Callithrix jacchus: one gene and its partners. The protein of the gene in region 3 purifies or fractionates together with the protein of the main gene of each other region. This does not show direct contact. Links are inferred from orthologs where the notes say so. Each region holds a gene or a part of one and is shown on either strand. Other genes may lie near its edges.

Region 1 (6,068 bases), on a different chromosome or scaffold from region 3:
GTATACAAGAAGATGTACCTAGGTTGTATGCAAATATCACCTTATTTTATATAAGAGACTTGAACATTTGTAGATTTTGATATCTGTGGAAGGGTCCTGGAACCAGTCCCTTGCAGATACTGGGAGGTGACTGTAGGTTGATGTATTTATATTTTTTGGTGAATGTATGTTTTTTAAGCAGTTGTTTATTTTTTAACAATGAGAGATGGTTTAACCGCTCTCTGATTTGTTAAGTGTTTTGTTGCTTTGTTTTCCCTCAGATACGTATGAACCAGATGGTTACAACCCAGAAGCTCCTAGTATTACTAGTTCTGGTAGATCTCAGTACAGACAGTTCTTTTCAAGAACACAGACACAGCGCCCCAATCTGATTGGCCTAACATCTGGAGATATGGATGCAAATCCAAGAGGTGAGAATACCTTGAACTTTTTCTGATGCTGTGTTATGCAATAGTTGAATATAGTTATTACATTTGCATTTCTGACCTTCATTGAGGAAATTAAGGTTCAAATTACTTGCATATCATCTCTTTGAAGGGTGCTATATATTAATCTCAGATGTTTTTAAATAACTTTATCTAAATTTTGTTTTAAAGCTATAGTGAGAATATATTTGTTTTTATTAGTACAGATCATACTAATATTAATTGTCTTTTTTGGGTATGACTTTAGGCTGTTTTAGTTTTGTTGCTAGGCATTGTGTTAGATATTATGTATAGAAATATGAAATTGCTGATCCTCTCCCTCAAAGAATTGATCATTAAAGGGCCTACTTTTTATCTTGAGAGCTATTCATCACAATAATAGTGAGAATCTAAAACATTACAATACAATTATCATTTGATAATTTTTACACTAATGATTACATCTTTAAGTTAGGACCTTTACAGAGCTTAGGAATACACCTTAAAAAAATGAAATAAAACTAAGATTAAATGCAAGCATTTACCTCTCATATGGCTGATAACCTCCTACCTACTCCCTCACTAAAAAGGTTGGTTAATGATGGTTAGTTTGATGGGATTCCATTTTTTTTTTTTTAACTGTTACAGATTTCCAGTATGTAATTTCAATATGAGTGACTGGCCATGGACTGCACTGACAATAGTTTTTGATTAATTTAATCATATGGCAAACATTCTCCTTTCTTTCTTTTTCTTCCCCCTTCCCTCTTACCTCTTCCTTCCTTCTTTCTTCCCCCTTCCCCCTTTCTGCTTCCTCCCCTTCTTCCTCCTTCTTCCCCCTTCTTCCCTCTTCTTCCCTCTTCTTTCACCTTCTTCCCTCTTCTTTCACCTTCTTTCCTCTTCTTCTCCCTTCCTTCCCCTTTCTCCTTTCCTTTCCTTGTCCCTTTCCTTTCTCCTTTCCTTTCCTTTCCTGAAACAGAGTCTGGCTCTGTTGCCTAGGTTGGAGTGCAGTGGCTCCATCTTGCTTCATTGCAACCTCTGCCTCCTGGATTCAAGTGATTCTCCTGCCTCTGCCTCCCAAGTAGCCGAGATTACAAGTGTGTGTCACCACACCCAGCTAATTTTTGTACTTTTAGTAGAGATGGGGTTCCACCATGTTGGCCAGGCAGGTCTTGAACTCCTGACCTCAGGTGATCCACCCATCTTGGCCTCTGAAAGTGCTGGAATTACAGGCGTGAGCCACTGCACCCAGCCTACCATTTTGCTGTTCTTTCTCTCTTAGTTTATTAATTCTTCTTTACTGCCATTAATAACACTATAAGAATGTGTGTGTGTGTGTGTATATGTGTGTGTGTGTATATATATATATAGATTGTGTGTGTGTGTGTGTGTGTATGTGTGTGTGTGTGTGTATATATATATATATATATATATTTTTTTTTTTTTTTTTTTTTTTTTTGGTGAGACAGAGTCTCCTTCTGTTGCCCAGGCTGGAGTGCAGTGGTGCAATCTAGGCTCACTGCAATCTCCACCTCCTGGGTTCAAGCAATTGACCTGGCTCAGCTGCCTGAGTAGCTGGGATTACAAGTGTGTGCCACTTGTAATACAAATTTTTGTATTTTTAGTAGAGACAGGATTTCACCATATTGGTCAGGCTGGTCTTGAACTCCTGACCTCAGGTAAATATGCTCACCTCAGCCTCTGGAAGTGTTGGGATTACTGGCACAAGTCACTATGCCTGGCCTCATGTATGTTATTGTTTCCCATATTTCTATTTTTATTCTCCTTTTACAAGGAAAAATACTGAGGCTTAGAGAGGTTTAAAGAACTTGCCCAAGGTCACACAGCTTTTAATTGGCAGAACTAGAATTCAAAGTAGAAGTAATGTTTTGTATAAAATAGGATTTCTTTGTTTTCTTGGGCAAGTCACTTAGCTTTAGCTATATCTCTTTCCTTTAATATGACACACTTAATTAAATTAAAAAATAAAGCATTAGGCAATGTTAGCTGGTAACAATAAAACTATTTAAGGAGAACATAATGGCATGTCAAATTCTAGAATGCTTTATGCCATCACAGTTGCTATCTTCTTCATTAGCCTTCTGAAAACACAAGTCTTGCAAGAGCAAGGATCTTGTTGGTTTTATTCACCAATGTATACCTAAGGTCTGCTATAGTTGCTGAGCTGTAAAATAGCTAAATGTTAAGTAAATGAATCCTTACATCATAATTTCCCTGACATAAAGATGAAATCAGATGTACCAACTCCCAACCATATCCCTACCCCAGCATTCAGCCTAGGTTATTCTTTGCTTAGTGGAGTTGCCAAAGTTAGGGGAAATACTTAGTATATAATAGGCATAGTTTTGTATTAATTTCCTTTTTGTTCAGTATACCTCTTCCTACCCAAAGGTTATTTATTGTATGGGCAGTTTCTTAGAGTATTTCTGCCAATTTATAGTATTGGCTTTGGATTTTCTTCCCAACTTTAAACCTATGGAAAATCAAAAGAAACACAGCAGACATCTGAATGCCTTCACGTAGATTTACCGGTAATACTTTGTTACCGTTGGGCATGAATGCTTTCTTGTGGGCTCTCTCTTCTCTTTATTCTCTACACTCACATTTTTTTGTTGAATCTCTTGAAAGTAAGTGGTAGATATAGAGAAACTTTAACCCCTTTACCTTATATGTAAGAATAAGACAGTCCTATATAAGCACAGTATTATTGCCATAAAATCATAATTCCATAATATGTTATCCTTATGATGTAGTCAAATTCTTGTTGAATCCTACCAGGAGGCAAATAATGTCCATTAATGGTGCTAAGTTTGATTGCTTGTATAAAGTGATAATTGTTAGAGCTCTCCATTGTAAATATAATTTTTGGAGTGATATTTTGTCACTGTATAAGTATTTTATTTTCCAATAGCCTTTCACCAATATATTTTTTATCTATTGCTCATCCATGCCTGAGTCAATGATTACATCAAGGTTAACTTTGAGTTTTGAAACATGGATTTCTATTTTTTATAGAAAAACACATTTGTGACTTTTTCTTGCTGTTAGGCATTTCTAAAAGAGAAATGATAGTAGTTGAAATATTCATAGTACTATTTAGCTTTTATACTAAATATTATTTAATCATTGAGATTGCTGAACAACTTAGTAATTTGAATTTTTGTTTCCAACAGCTGCTAACATTGTGATCCAGACTGAACCACCAGTTCCTGTTTCGATTAATAGCAACATAACCAGAGTAGTTCTAGAACCAGATAGCCGAAAAAGAGCCGTGAGTGGTTTGGAAGGCCCACTCACAAAGAAACCTTGGCTGGGAAAGTAAGATAATTTGCTAATTAGTAACATCTAATTGTTATTATTGTTGTTTGCATTACTAAATTCATAAACTTTGTCATTAATGATTTTCAAACTAAGTGTCTCAAAGTTAGGGTTCCAGGAGACATGTTTAGAATGTCGTGAAAATTAAAAAGTTAACAATATTCATAATAGTTTTTTTTTTTTTGAGACAGTCTTGCTCTTGTCGCCCAAGCTGGAGTGCAATGGCTCGATCTTGGCTCACCACAACCTCCGCCTCCAGGGTTCAAGCAATTTTCCTGCCCCAGCCTCCTGAGTAGCTGGGATCACAGGTGCCCACCACCGTATCTGGCTAATTTTTTGTAATTTTAGTAGAGACAGTTTCACCATGTTGGTCAGGCTGGTCTGGAACTCCTGACCTCAGGTGATCCACCAGCCTCAGCCTCCCAAAGTGCTAAGATTATAGGAGTGAGCTACCGCACCTGGCCCATAATAGGTATTTCTAATTTGTAACTACCTATTTCTATGCCTAACCAAATATTAAAAATTACTAAGGCACTGGCAGTGGATAGAAAAGAAGAAAAAAAAATGAAATAAATGGTAAAAAAAAAAAAAAGTTTAATACGTTTGCAGAAGTTGAAAAATATGCCATTAAAGATGATATTCTAGCCAGGCATGATGGCTCACGTCTGTAATCCCAGCACTTTGGGAGGCTGAGATGGGCAGATCACCTGAGGTCAGGAGTTTGAGACCAGCCTGACCAACATGGAGAAATTCCATCTCTACTAAAAATACAAAATTAGCCAGGCATGGTGGTGAATGCCTGTAATCCCAGCTACTTGGGAGGCTGAGGCAGAATAATTGCTTGAACCTGGGAGACAGAGGTTGTAGTGAGCTGAGATCGTGCCACTGCACTTCAGCCTGGGCAACAAGAGCAAAACTCCATCTCAAAAAAAAAAAAAAGAAAAAAAAGATGATATTCTAGCCTTACTTAGACTCCTTGATAATTGTGGTATTCTTTTTGGCATATGATTTTAAGCTTCAGTTGGACCTTTTCTTTTGATGATCTTTTGCGTTCACCTTTATCTTCAACTTTTTTTATTCTTGGGATAAGAACGATGTGAAAATTGCTTAGTAATTTCTGAAGAATGTTAAGGGCTAACAAGAGGCACTTTAAAAAATTAATTAATTAATTATATAGAGACAGGGTCTTACTATGTTGCCCAGACTGATCTGGAACCCCTGGGCTCAAGCATTTCTCCAGCCTTAGCCTCTCAGAGTGCTGGCATTATAGGCATGAGCCACTGCACCCAGTCTCTAACCTGTTTCTTGATGTTAATATATTTTCTGTGGTTTGAATTTTGAATATAATGTTTCATAGGATTTTGAAAAAATTTTCTGGGATTACAGGTGTGAGCCACCATGCCCAGCAACAAAAGGCACTTAAAAAATTATACATATAAAACTTAAATTCTTGGTGGTTATATCTCTTGGCTAGGCATGAAGTAAGAGAATTAACCAAGATATATTAATCTTCCTTTTAGGCAAGGAAATAACAATCAAAATAAACCGGGGTTCTTACGAAAGAATCAGTATACAAACACCAAATTAGAAGTCAAGAAAATCCCTCAGGAATTGAACAACATTACCAAGCTCAATGAACACTTCAGCAAATTTGGAACTATTGTTAATATCCAGGTAAACGTGGCTATGTCAGTGACAGAATCCAGGCATTTTATGAGTCTTGGAAATATTTCTGTCAGCTCACCTTGCTTAAATGAGTCAGTGGTTATTCTGATCATTTGTATACCCACTTTTATGATGGACTTGTTAATTCTTGTGAATTAACAAGTTTGTTCTTGTGAATTCATTTGGTTCTTTAGTGCAGTCTCTTCTTGAATGAGAATGGGTAGTTACTGTATTTTTATTCATAGTTCTATCTCAGAAAAAATGACTTTTTTAATATCTGAGTTAATATAACTAGGTAGCTGATATTTTTGGTAATGTTCAAGATTATAATTTTGTCAACTGACCTTTTATATTGTGGTAAAATAGTAGTTGGTTGAGGATGGTTCTAATGTTTAGAATTTTAGGCAGTGTAATGTGTAATCCAAGATCAAATAAATCATAGCTTTGTATTTCACTGTCTACTTGTTAGTTATTTTAATTTGTGAATTTATGGTTGGGTGTTATGTTGTCATTGAGAGTACTGGAAGGCTAGATTAAGTTTGAATTTTAGTCTGTTATCCCTGATACTTAAGTGTTGTCATCAAACCAAAATAAGCTGAGTTAAAGAAGATGGTGTTGTGGAAGTTGGTATTTCAAAGAATTGAACCAAAGTGGTCTTTT
Region 2 (6,068 bases), on a different chromosome or scaffold from region 3:
ATATTGCTGTTATCTTGTGTTAACTAAAGGGTATATGGGCACCCTTTAAGAAGCAAGTCAAAAGGGATGGTTCATCCTCTCCTTCCTTAAAAATTAGAAGAAAGTCAGTACTTCTTAATAATCAGGTATTGATATGATAGGATCACTTTCCGGTGTCTTTCTCCAACCTGCTGCTTCTCATTATGTGAATATATTTGGTAAATTTTAATTTGCGTTGATAGCATGTTGGGTGTTGTTTTTGGAAGCTAAGGGTTTCCTTATCCTTCAAAGTAACCTCTGATTTGTAGAATATTAATATAAAAATAACTTACTCTGTATCTACCTCAGTGAAAGTACTAGAATTATAGAATCACATACTTTTCATATACTTTATATTTGGAAAGATCATGATGAAATAAGATGAGTTATATAACTTAGCCATGCATTTCCTCCATTTCTTCTAAATAATATTAGTTAAACATTTAAGTTAAATATTAGAATTATACATTGTTTTTTCTAATTGGGAAGATTTATTTTTTAACTTATTTCTTCTTATAGCCAAAGGCAAATATTTATCCATAATAAGACTATATGCTTATGTAAGGTGGTTGTATCAGGTTTTGTCACTAACTTTAAATCTTCAATAGAGTATACAAAGAATACTTTCAAAAAAGTTTTCTTTTAAGTATTATTAATAATACAGTTATTGGGTAATTAAAAAAATATTCTACATCCAAAAAAGTAAAAGAGGTGTTATGTGCAGTATTGGTCTCTTCTCCCCACCGATTTCTGTTTATATTCTTTTTATCACTTAATTTTAAATCATAGTGCATGGATCATTAGTTTCATTGTAGAACTATACACATATATTTTATTTCAGTTACCACTGTTGGGAATAGGACCTGATAATATCTGAAGTGTCTAAAATTTACATTTGGCCTTTCAATGTTAGGTGTTAACTTGACACAGGAAGGAAGATATTGGCTATAATCACAAGTGCAAAAGGAACATATCAACAGTCATAATTTATATTACATATTTGCATCAAAACATTTTAATCATCCTAATGCTGATTGGTTGGATTTCCCAGTGCTTATTACTAATGCATCAGGAAGTCTTAACAATTGGCATCAACAGGATTATTTATAATGGTTGAATTCTCATCATAGTTTGATTTTTGTTTGTGTTTTTGTTTGTGTTCTTTTTGTTTGTTTTTAAATACTTTTAGCCCTGGCTTGAAAAACAATCCAGTTGATGAAAGTGAGGTCCAAACAGCAACTGATAGTCCCTCTGTTAAACCTAATGAGCTCGAAGAAGAAAGTATACCCAACATGCAAACAGAAATTTTCGTACAACAGGAGAAGCCTTGTGAGGAAGAACCTGAAAAAGTAACATGTGATTCTGACTTTGCTATGGAAACATTGGAGGTTGAAACTCAAGGGGAGGAGGTCAAAGAAGAAGTTCCTCTTGTAGCATCCACTCCAGCCAGTATTGAACTATTCACTGAAAATGCCGAGGAGTGTGCTTTAAATCAGCAGGTGTATAACAGTGACTTGGAGAAGAAAGACGCAGGAATTATTAACCCTGAAACAGCATTGTTACCATCTGACAGTGTGTTTATAGAAGAAAGGAACATCAAAGGAGTTACAGAAGAATCTCCATCTGAAGCAGAAGATTTCTTTTCTGGAGTTACACAGTCTGTGGTAGAATCTATAGCCGAAGTAGAAAAACCTGAAACTGTTTCAGAAATATTGCCATCAGCTTGTATTGTGACATTAGTACCAGGAGTTTCCACTGGGGATGAGAAGACAGTGGGCAAAAAGAGTATTTCTGAAAAAAAAAGTAACATGGATGAAAAGGAGGAGAATGAATTTAATATAACTAAGGAAATCAGAATGGATCTTCAAATAGGAACAGAGAAGGCTGAAAAGAATGAAGGTAGGATGGTTGCAGAAAAGGTGGAAAAGATGATGGCGTCAGTGAAAGAAAAGCCTGCAGAAAATACTTTATTCAAGACATACCCAAATAAAGGAGTGGGTCAGGCTACTAATCCTGATGAAACTAGTAAGACTAGTATTCTGGCAGTATCCAGTGTATCTAGCAATAAATCAAGCATCAAGGCTGTTGTAGTCTCTTCTCCTAAGGCAAAAGCTACAGCTTCGAAACCTGAAAATCAGAAAAGTTTTTTAAAATCTGCGCTTAGAGATCAAATAAATGCTGAAAAGAAACTTTCGGCCAAGGAATTTGCTCTACTTAAACCTACAAGTGCCAGGTCAGGCTTGGCAGAAAGCAGTAAATTGAAACCCACTCAGAGCAGTTTTACCAGAGGAGGCAGTGGAAAGATCTCAGCCCTGCAAGGCAAGCTTTCTAAACTGGATTACAGGGATATAACAAAACAATCTCAGGAAACAGAAGCTAGACCTTCCATCGTGAAGCGGGATGACAGCAACAATAAGGTGAGGAGGGTAGGAAGAATGGCTCAGTGTGTCTTTGAAGTGATTAGCTCTGCTGGTGTAGCTATGGAGTAGGAGATGTAATTTTGTTTAATACTTTCATCTCCTCACTCCACCCCAGAAGCTTCCATTTTCTTTTCTTAAATGATTCCATTGTTTAAGCCAGTATGCATTTAGAATGTTAAGCTTGAGTTCATAATTTATTGACAGGTTTGAAAAGCATTATTTGGAAAAAGTTTGGTCAGAAATAACTGATTAAAAAAAAAAATTTGCAGTGAATCTCCTAAGGTGATTTACTACTTTGCTTCTGAATGGAAAACTGTTTCCTCTCTTAAATTGAACCTTCTTCTATCAGGTCACTGACTGCCCAACTAGACATTGTGGGAAGAAAAGATCAGTAAAACTGAATTTAACTACAACTTGTAGAGACTGTGCCTGTACTGTTAATGACTGTTGACTTAGCTTTGTATATATGTTAAATATTTGCATAACTGACTATATTTTGGTAATTATTTCTGGGTTTTTTAAAATACCATTTAATAATCTGGTTGTAAATTCTGTTTTTCTGTATTTCTTATTTACTATTTCAGACTTTGGCTGGACAAAACACTAAGAATTCTAAAAGTGCTGCTGGTAGAAGTTCCAAATCTAAAGAGGTAAAAAGTAGATCATGGACCCTAACGCTTTTTTTTCATCGCTCCATAACACAGTGCATCTATCTTACAACGTGTGTCTGCCTTATAATAGTTAATACAAATGTTAGAGAGGTAGAGGTATAAAGCAAGGGATAGGAATGAGATGTTTTATTTTTAATTTACCTCTAATCCTACCATTAATTTACTTTCTGACCTTGAGTTAGCCTAAGCACCTTGTGTTCTTGGTGAAGGAGCAAAATGTTATATGGGGACAGTAAAAGAGTAGAATAGGAAAATACCTCCAATCTCCTACTGACAGGAATAGGTTGTAGACACAGAAAAAAAAAATCATAAATGTGAAGGAGAATGACTGACATTTGACTTGATTCATCCTAATTTTGTTAAAACAGGTTATTCTTTTGGCTCTAATTTAACCTTAAGTGAATGGTGGATGGTCTGTAAGATTTACTTTACTGGTACCACATTCTGTTGCCAAACAAACATATTTTATGTTTGGTTGTTGAGTATTTCAGATTTTTACCATTCATAGAATATTGTTTCAGTCATTTTACTTTTATTATCTGGTAGGGGATGAATTTGTGCCTCTGTATTTGGGGCAAGGAGAAACGTTATTAGTTTAAAGCAGAAATAAGAATTACGGCTACTTCATTTTGCTTTGTTAAGTTGGTACTACAACTGTTTGCAGATAATTCTACCTATTACAAGATTCCTTCGTATTCTAATGTCATTGTTATATATAATAGCAGTTGATCACTGATAACATACTAAAATGTACAGGAGCCCTGGCAGGAATTTATCTTCTTTACTATTGGAAGTATTTTAAAAATTACAGATACTTTGTTTTCAAATACAATTATATTAGATATTGAGTCTTAACAACTTTTCCATACAACTTTCTCAAAATGTAACCATTGTATTTATTAAAATATGTATTCTATAGTTAATTAATGTGTAACCAATATACAGTGATAAATGAAACAGTCTAATTAGCTGTTTACTTTCTAACTATATTGGAGGTTCTTTTAGAGGTCCAGTAAGTCTCCTAGAACACTTGTTAGATGTTTGACATATGGAATAGTAAATCCTTTATATTGTTTGACAAATGCTTTAAATGTAATATTTTTATGTGTCATACTTCAAAACTCATCATTTAGAAAATGTGTGAATTTAAGAAGTGGAAAGGTCGATATTGTTAGGGCTTTACCTTTGGCTTACACTTTGTGAATTATAGCTAAGTCATTTATGGGGCTTTAAAAAAAAACAACTCTTAATTTTAGCCTTTAGAAAACTTAATTAGCACCGAAATTCTCCCAGATGATCTGCATGCACAGTTATTGTGACTATTTGGAATCTAGGCAGTGTTCAAAGTTTGTTTACAATACTATGATTTTTAACTTTCCAACAGGAACCATTATTTCCATTTAATTTGGATGAATTTGTTACTGTGGATGAGGTTATAGAAGAAGTGAATCCTTCTCAAGCCAAGCAGAATCCACTAAAGGGAAAAAAGAAAGAAGCTCTCAGAAATGTTCCGTTCTCTGAACTTAACCTAAAGAAGAAAAAGGGGAAAACTTCAGCCCCTCGTGGTGTTGAGGGAGAACTATCTTTTGTAACATTGGATGAGATTGGGGAAGAAGAAGATGCAGCTGCACATCTAGCACAAGCTCTAGTCACTGTGGATGAAGTAATTGATGAAGAAGAACTAAATATGGAAGAAATGGTAAAAAATTCAAATTCACTTTTTACATTAGATGAATTAATTGACCAAGATGATTGCATTTCCCACAGTGAACCTAAAGATGTTACTGTTCTGTCAGTGGCTGAAGAACAAGATCTTCTCAAACAGGAGCGCTTGGTAACTGTGGATGAAATTGGAGAAGTGGAAGAGCTACCTTTGAATGAGTCAGCAGACATAACTTTTGCCACTTTAAATACAAAAGGAAATGAAGGAGACACTGTAAGGGAATCTATTGGCTTCATTTCTTCTCAGATGCCTGAAGACCCTTCTACTTTAGTTACTGTAGATGAAATACAAGATGACAGCAGTGATTTGCATTTAGTGACTTTGGATGAAGTAACTGAAGAGGATGAAGACTCTCTGGCTGATTTTAACAACCTAAAAGAAGAACTTAATTTTGTTACTGTTGATGAAGTTGGAGAGGAGGAGGATGGAGATAATGATTTAAAAGTTGAGTTAACACAAAGCAAAAATGACAGTCCCACAGATAAAAAAGGGAATAGAAAGAAGAGAGCTGTGGACACAAAAAAGACAAAACTTGAAGCCTTGTCCCAAGTGGCTCCAGTAAATGAGAATGTTACAGAAGAAGATTTAAAAACCATGATTGAAAGACGCTTAGCAGGTAGATACTTGGAAGTAGTAATCTTTCTGTTTTATGAGGGGATTTCATTTAAAATTAATTTTAAAATACATGTTGTGGCATTACCAATAATTTCACCCAGTATTGGTTTCAGAAGCCAACAGACAGCTACAGTCAACAATAAATTATCCAAAGAACTGTATACAAGTTTCACAGTTTTTTAGTTATACAGCAGAACTTAATCCAAGTTATACTTCAAGAAAGAATGACAAAAAAAAACCAGAAAACAAACTAAAGTAGCCAAATTAGAATTGGAATGAAAATGAAACATTTATATTGTGGGGAAAAGACAACTTTTGATAAATAGAAGAATATTTACATCAGATTGCCTCCCAGTTTTTATTTAGACTTAGGATTTAGAACAATTTATAAAGGAACTGTTTTGTTTTAAAGTAATATTGTAATGATACAGAATAGTAGGGCAGCTCACTTTCTGAACCTGAGGGAGATAAAAATAATTTCCAGTAAGAATGTCTTGAGGCCCAATGTTGTGGCTCTACTTATTGTCTCAGCACTGCACTTAGGGAGGCCAAGGTAGGAGAATCGCTTGAGGCCAGGAGTTCGGCACCAGTCTGGGCAACCTAGCAAGACTCTTCTCTCTA
Region 3 (6,068 bases):
GTGTTAAACAGTCTTGACAGTAGAGGGAGCCCAGGAGGTTTCAGAGCTTTCCCACCTTGAGCCAGAATGGAAACCAACTGAGTTACCCAGTTTTCACACACCAGAGTCACTTGGCATTCACTCCCAAAATAAGGGTCTAAATAAGTCAAGGCTTCTTAGGTAGACAAGAACACAAGAGCCAATCTATCATCTGTCATCACATTTAAATCCATGCCAATTCCTTGAAATTCACAATCCTGGGTGGGTTATCAATAACAGGGTCCTATAATCAGGAACAACTATGAAAAGACAATATGACACTTCTTTCCCAACAGAGCCAAAGAGCAGGCATACTTTTCTTGAATAGAAAAACAAAACAAAAACGAAATACAATCATAACAGATGCAAGATACAAATTATACTACACATTCTAGAAAGCTACAGGTGTAAGTTGCTAAAACTGGAAGGTTTCTGCAAATGATGCTGCTGACTGAATATATTAAAAATGACAACTGGTCAGAAATAAGATTTGGTATCAGAGAGCGAGAGATAGCCTAGTGGCACAGAATGTACATTTAAATCACATTACTTGTTCCTGAGTATAAAAGTAATAAAAATGATTAGTGCAAGCATATAGGGGTTGGTCACTTTCAGCCAATTCCTTCATAGCATTTGTTAAAGGCACACCCCGGGAGTCAGTGATGGCAGACAGCTGATGAGAAGAACACTTACCTTTTGGCAAATCCCCAGTACTGGAGGCTGAAACCGTCCTGCTTCTGTCATGGGAAGGACTGCTTTCCTCTTGCTCAGTAAGTGGTGATCCCTCAGAAAGCACAGAACCGCAGGCCACAGGTTCTAAGGATCCAGAGAACAATGAGGTGGAAAACTCTGGAAACTGTGACTCGGGAATTTTATGCCGTCCATTTGGCAATTCACCATTGAATTGTTCATAGGAGCTGCTATATGTGTAATCACTTTCTGCATTTGGCTCATCAAGATTATATTCCTCAGGATTTGGGCAATCTTCTTCATCATCCTCTTCATCGTCCAGTTGCTGCTCCAATAAGAACGGGCCATTCTCAATATGGCCATTGGTTTTAGGTGATTCTATCCACGTAGGGTCTATGTTTGCAAGTTCCTGATCTACATCATCATCATCTTTTTCAATGTTTTCTTTCTCAGTGTCTTCTTTCTCTTCCTGGTCCTCGGCTTCACCTTAAGAAGTTGATGGGTCAAGAATTAGAACTTGTTACTCTCCTTAATACAACCTCACATCTCATCAATAAAATACATTTTGAATGTGCTTAACTTATGCACCTCATAGTAAACACCTCTCAGCTTTTGGAGTAAAACCTTCAAGTTTTCAAAATCTCATTTTTGGTTCATTAATAATTGGCCTGCTCTTATAAGAAAAAGTTAGCTTTGGGAGAAAAAAACTCTTTCTAAATAAAGCTGCACTTCCATTTCCACCCTCTACAATCTTCAGAAATAGATTTGTGGTGTACTACAGTTAGGTAAAAAGTTAATGACAAAATAAAGCACCATCTTTAGCATGATAGAAACATGGTGTTTCTCAGACATTCTACATTTTTAAAAACTATTTTGAAATGTTGTATTTCTGGCATACAGTTCACAAATGAATTATAAGGATGTTTCCCGAATTTCCCAATAGAGACTTGGAGAGAATCATCCTTGCCATCTGAAGCAGCAGCACAAATCAGCCCCCATTGTAACCTGAGGACCCCATGCAGCCCAGGCTCTTGGCCCCACTAACCGTTGTCCTTTGTGGTCTCTGCCTCGGCTGCCTCCTCTAATCCTGTTGTTTTTAGTTTCACCTCTGGGCCATATTCACTATCCTGCTCATTGGAAGGTGCAGCTGAAGTGATGTTTTCTTCTATTATTTTCCTTTCAGCTTCTCGCTCCAATTCTTCTATCTCCTGCAGGCGTTTTTCCAATAACTCAGCCTGCCTCTTCTGTTTCTTTTTCAGTTTTTTCTTTTTGTTTTTAGATATTTTTCCTATCTATAACATGTTAAGAAAAGACCACAGGTCAGTTTTCTTCTTTTTAAAGCACACATGATAGTATAACTGCTGGCAGCATGGCAACTAACAAAAAACTCCGCTTTCTCATGCCATATTCTACTAAAATCCCAAACCCAGACATCCACCTCATGGTAAGGCTTATGGTAAAATCAAAGGGAAAGCAGTGCTGACTGATATCACATGCTAGGTCTACTACCAGGTCCTGCCCTCAGAGGGATACAGCTTAAATCCAGTAAGCCTTCACCATTCAAACTCTCAGAGAACTGAAGTCCAAAATTCTCTTGGCCTTAGAGAAGCTCCTCTTGGAAGTTTTATTTGCTGCCCTCTATATACAAAATAACAACATCCCATCTCCTCACTACCAAAAATGAAACAGGTGCCCAAGCAGGTGTATGTCACTGTGTTTGGGTCTCACATATGTCTTGGAAGCTCTTACCAGCCAAGACAACATGAACTGTAAGAGATAAGCCTAAGCAGCAATGTGAAAGAAGAAAAAGCCACAGCTTTTGTTTGCCTCCCATCATGGCCAGCTGACTTGCAAAGCACTGGCAAGGAGAGCCTCCAATCCTTCATACAGTAAACTCAGGTGGCTTGAGCCAGGGAAGAACTATGGGAAACAACTTGGGCTCCTCAGCAAGCCAGGAAGCCTAATTATTACAGCTCCCTCTTGTTCCAGAACTTACGTTCCAAATCAAGGGTTGTCTCAGTAAACATAGTGTTTTCTTGTTATTTTGTTTTTTGTTGTTGTTTTCTTTTTCTTTGAGATGGGGTCTTGTTCGGTTGCATAGGCTGGAGTGCACTGGCGTGACTTTGGCTCACTGCTACCTCCATTTCCTGGGTTCAAGTGTTTCTCATGCCTCAGCCTCCCATGTAGCTGGGAGTACAGGTACATGCCATCATGCCCGGCTGATTTTTTTTTTTGAGACAGAGTCTCACTCAGTCACCCAGGATGGAGTCCAATGGCCTAATCTCAGCTCATTGCAACCTCCCCCTCCTGGGCTCAACAGATTCTCCTGCCTCACCCTCCTGAGTAGCTGAGATTACAGGCATCCGCCAGCACACTCGGCTAGTTTTTGCATTTTTTGGTAGAGACAGGGTTTCACCATGTTAGCCAGGGTGGTCTCGAAGTCCTGACCTCAAGAGATCTGCTGGCCTCAGCCTCCCAAAATGTTGGAATTACAGGTGTCAGCCACCACACCTGGTACCTAGTACTGACATAGTGTTTTGACAGGACTACAAACTATCTCTTTCTTATTTAACATCTGGCTGGAAAAAAATTAGAACAACAGCTTCGGAAAAGGTAACTTAGCAGCCAATCAGAAATAATATAAAGTGGTTTTGAAATAAAAGTGCTTCAACTCCACCACCTCACATTTCATTAGACTTGGCCAACCGTAGTCCAGAAAATGCATAAAGAAGACAATCATTGAAAGGCTCTAACCATTCCAATTCTGCAGAGATCCCTAAAACTTAACGAGACAGGCCAGGTGTGATGGCTCATGCATGTAATCTCAGAACTTTGAGAAGCCAAGATGGGAAGATCACTTGAGGTCAGGAATTCGAGACCAGCCTGACCAACATGGTGAAACTCCATCTCTACTAAAAGTACAAAAATTAGCTGAGCATGGTGGTGGGTGCCTGTAATCCCAGCTACTCGGAAGGCTGAGGCAGGAGAATCGTTTGAACCTGGGAGGGGGAGGCTGCAGTGAGCCAAGATCGCAACACTGCATGCCAGCCTGAGCAGTAATGCAAGACTCAGTCACATACACACACAAAATCCAAAAAACACTTAACAAGACAGTAAGTCTTAAATATTTGAGGATACACAGCATTTATAAATGTGTCTACCCTTTAAATTAATATATACTACCACTTTTTAATAATTTGAACTGCTCAAACAGTTTCTTTTGCCATGGTGCATAAAAGTAATATGCGTTAAGTACTTACAGGTTTCTGCTGTGGAGCCGTACTCACTAAAATAAAATGAAACAAAATTGGTATTTAGCAGAAAACAGACACATACCTTCATGCAGGTCATTTGGATTGCAAAATGACATAATTATTATCTTTTAATGACTATCCAACTTCACAAACATATTAATCAGAGCTTCGTAATCACTGGGATCTAGAGAAAGTTTATGCAACTGAAACAAACAACGGACTCTTAAAATGCATAGCAGAAAAGTTGTTCATACTGAGCCATTTCTTTTATTTATCTAAAATGAAATACTAATACATCTCAAAAACAGTCAATCCCAAAGCACCAACAGATAGCTTAAGAAAATGGAAAATAATTCATACATATCACAGTCATTAAACCAAATTTGTTATAAATAAAATGAAATAAACAATTTAGATTAGATGTACATTTATATTTGAAATCTATTTTGCAAGCTTTCTACAATTTAAATCAAATACTGCAGTTGGTATGCAGCTAATATTCTAGAAATCACATGATTAAACCCTATCAGGGCCATAAGTTTGACAGTCTGGGTCCATGATCTAAACAACACCTGCAGTAGAGGAGATGTGAAGAGAGCCCCAGGCAGTCTCCAGAGTCTCAGCCCTTTACTATCTATGCTTGCCTGACAACACAAGGGCACAGACAATGTTGAAGATCCACAAAAGCACAGTCCACATTTCACTGCACCCCCACCAGAAATAAAGATATGCCAATACTCAGGTCACTTGGTCTTCTTCCCCCACCATCAGGCCTTTTCTAACTAACTCCAAATCCACTGATAAAACTCAGATTGACGTAGCTATGACAAATGGACAATAGGAATTACTGTAACATAACTGAAGCTAGAAAAATATTCTGATGACTAAAAGTCAGCTCCAGGAAAGCTGTTATTATGTTCTCCTCTGCAGAGAAGTGGGCAACAGAAAAAACTGTTCCAATATTAATGAAGCAGCAACTACAAATTTAAATGGCAAGTAATTCAAATATTAAAATATAATGTACCTGGGGCATTTTCCATCTCAAGAAAAGGGTGTAGTTATTTCCAGAAATTAAACTTTGCCAAAAATGTCCTTACATGTAACATTTGATTGAGAAACCTTCAACATACAACATTGCAAGCTTACAATACCTCAGACAGACTGAAATGAAGCTGGCTCAGTCCCTCACCTGCAGACCCTGAAGGAGGAGGAGCACCTGCTTTCTGCCACTCAGTGGCCTCAGCTGCCATTCTTCTCACATATGCATCATCCACACACATCAAGATGTTTTCTGGCTTTATGTCAGTATGAATGATTTTGCACTTACTGTGCAGATAATCTAATCCTTGAAGGACCTGGACATAGTAAAATTAAGAGAGAAGATAAGCTATTAATACCTCTTTATATAAGTTTTATTTATTTGAAAAGCATAAAATACAATGACAGGCTACCAAGTTTGATAAACACAAAAGGATATTTAGTAAAAATCTCCCTCCCATTCCTAACCTCATTGGAATCCAGCTCTCCTTCCCATAAGAAACCAGTGTATATCATTTCAGAGATTATGCTTGTGGAAGCAAATGCATCTATATACAGTTGAACCTTGAAGGTTTGAACTGCATGGGTCCACTTATACACAGATGTTCTTCCACCTCTGCACTCCTGAGACAGCAAGACCAACCCCTCAGCCTACTCAACATGAGGATGATGAGGATGAAGACCTTTATGATGATCGACTTCCACTTAATGAATAAATGGTAAACATACTTTCTTTTCTTTTCTCTAGCTTACTCTATTGTAACAATATGCTATATAACACACATACAAAATACATGTTAAACAACTGTTAATGTCATCAGGAAAGGCTTCTGATCAACAGCAGAATATTAGTAGTTAAGCTTTGGTCAAGTCAAAAGTCAGACATGGATTTTCAACTTCATTGGAAGGGGCTGGTCAGTGCCTCTAACCCTTGTGCTATTCAAGCCTCAGCTGTGTATTTTTGTTCAGTAACAACTATACTCATGTGTCATATAACCCCTTTAGGTATACAATTTAACAGATTTCAAATGTGCAACTATCACCACTATTTAAATGACATCATTTTCA

Evidence for each region. Proteins that work in one complex are often made in the same cells at the same time.
Region 1: the proteins of SRPK2 (region 3) and RBM27 purify together in Homo sapiens (affinity purification with mass spectrometry; 3 studies listed by BioGRID and IntAct, with this or other methods). This does not show direct contact. The link is inferred for Callithrix jacchus from reciprocal best matches to the Homo sapiens genes SRPK2 and RBM27.
Region 2: the proteins of SRPK2 (region 3) and ZNF638 purify together in Homo sapiens (affinity purification with mass spectrometry; 3 studies listed by BioGRID and IntAct, with this or other methods). This does not show direct contact. The link is inferred for Callithrix jacchus from reciprocal best matches to the Homo sapiens genes SRPK2 and ZNF638.

What each region holds. Positions count from the first base shown.
Region 1 is NC_133503.1:44,765,206-44,771,273, forward strand, and holds part of RBM27 (RNA-binding protein 27), read left to right. Parts: intron 1-260; coding exon 261-410; intron 411-3,598; coding exon 3,599-3,743; intron 3,744-5,263; coding exon 5,264-5,417; intron 5,418-6,068. UniProt on the Homo sapiens protein: May be involved in the turnover of nuclear polyadenylated (pA+) RNA.
Region 2 is NC_133515.1:42,490,352-42,496,419, reverse strand, and holds part of ZNF638 (zinc finger protein 638), read left to right. Parts: intron 1-1,207; coding exon 1,208-2,435; intron 2,436-3,022; coding exon 3,023-3,088; intron 3,089-4,493; coding exon 4,494-5,448; intron 5,449-6,068.
Region 3 is NC_133512.1:75,524,383-75,530,450, forward strand, and holds part of SRPK2 (SRSF protein kinase 2), read right to left. Parts: intron 5,318-6,068; coding exon 5,152-5,317; intron 3,995-5,151; coding exon 3,969-3,994; intron 2,001-3,968; coding exon 1,754-2,000; intron 1,195-1,753; coding exon 712-1,194; intron 1-711. UniProt on the Homo sapiens protein: Serine/arginine-rich protein-specific kinase which specifically phosphorylates its substrates at serine residues located in regions rich in arginine/serine dipeptides, known as RS domains and is involved in the phosphorylation of SR splicing factors and the regulation of splicing.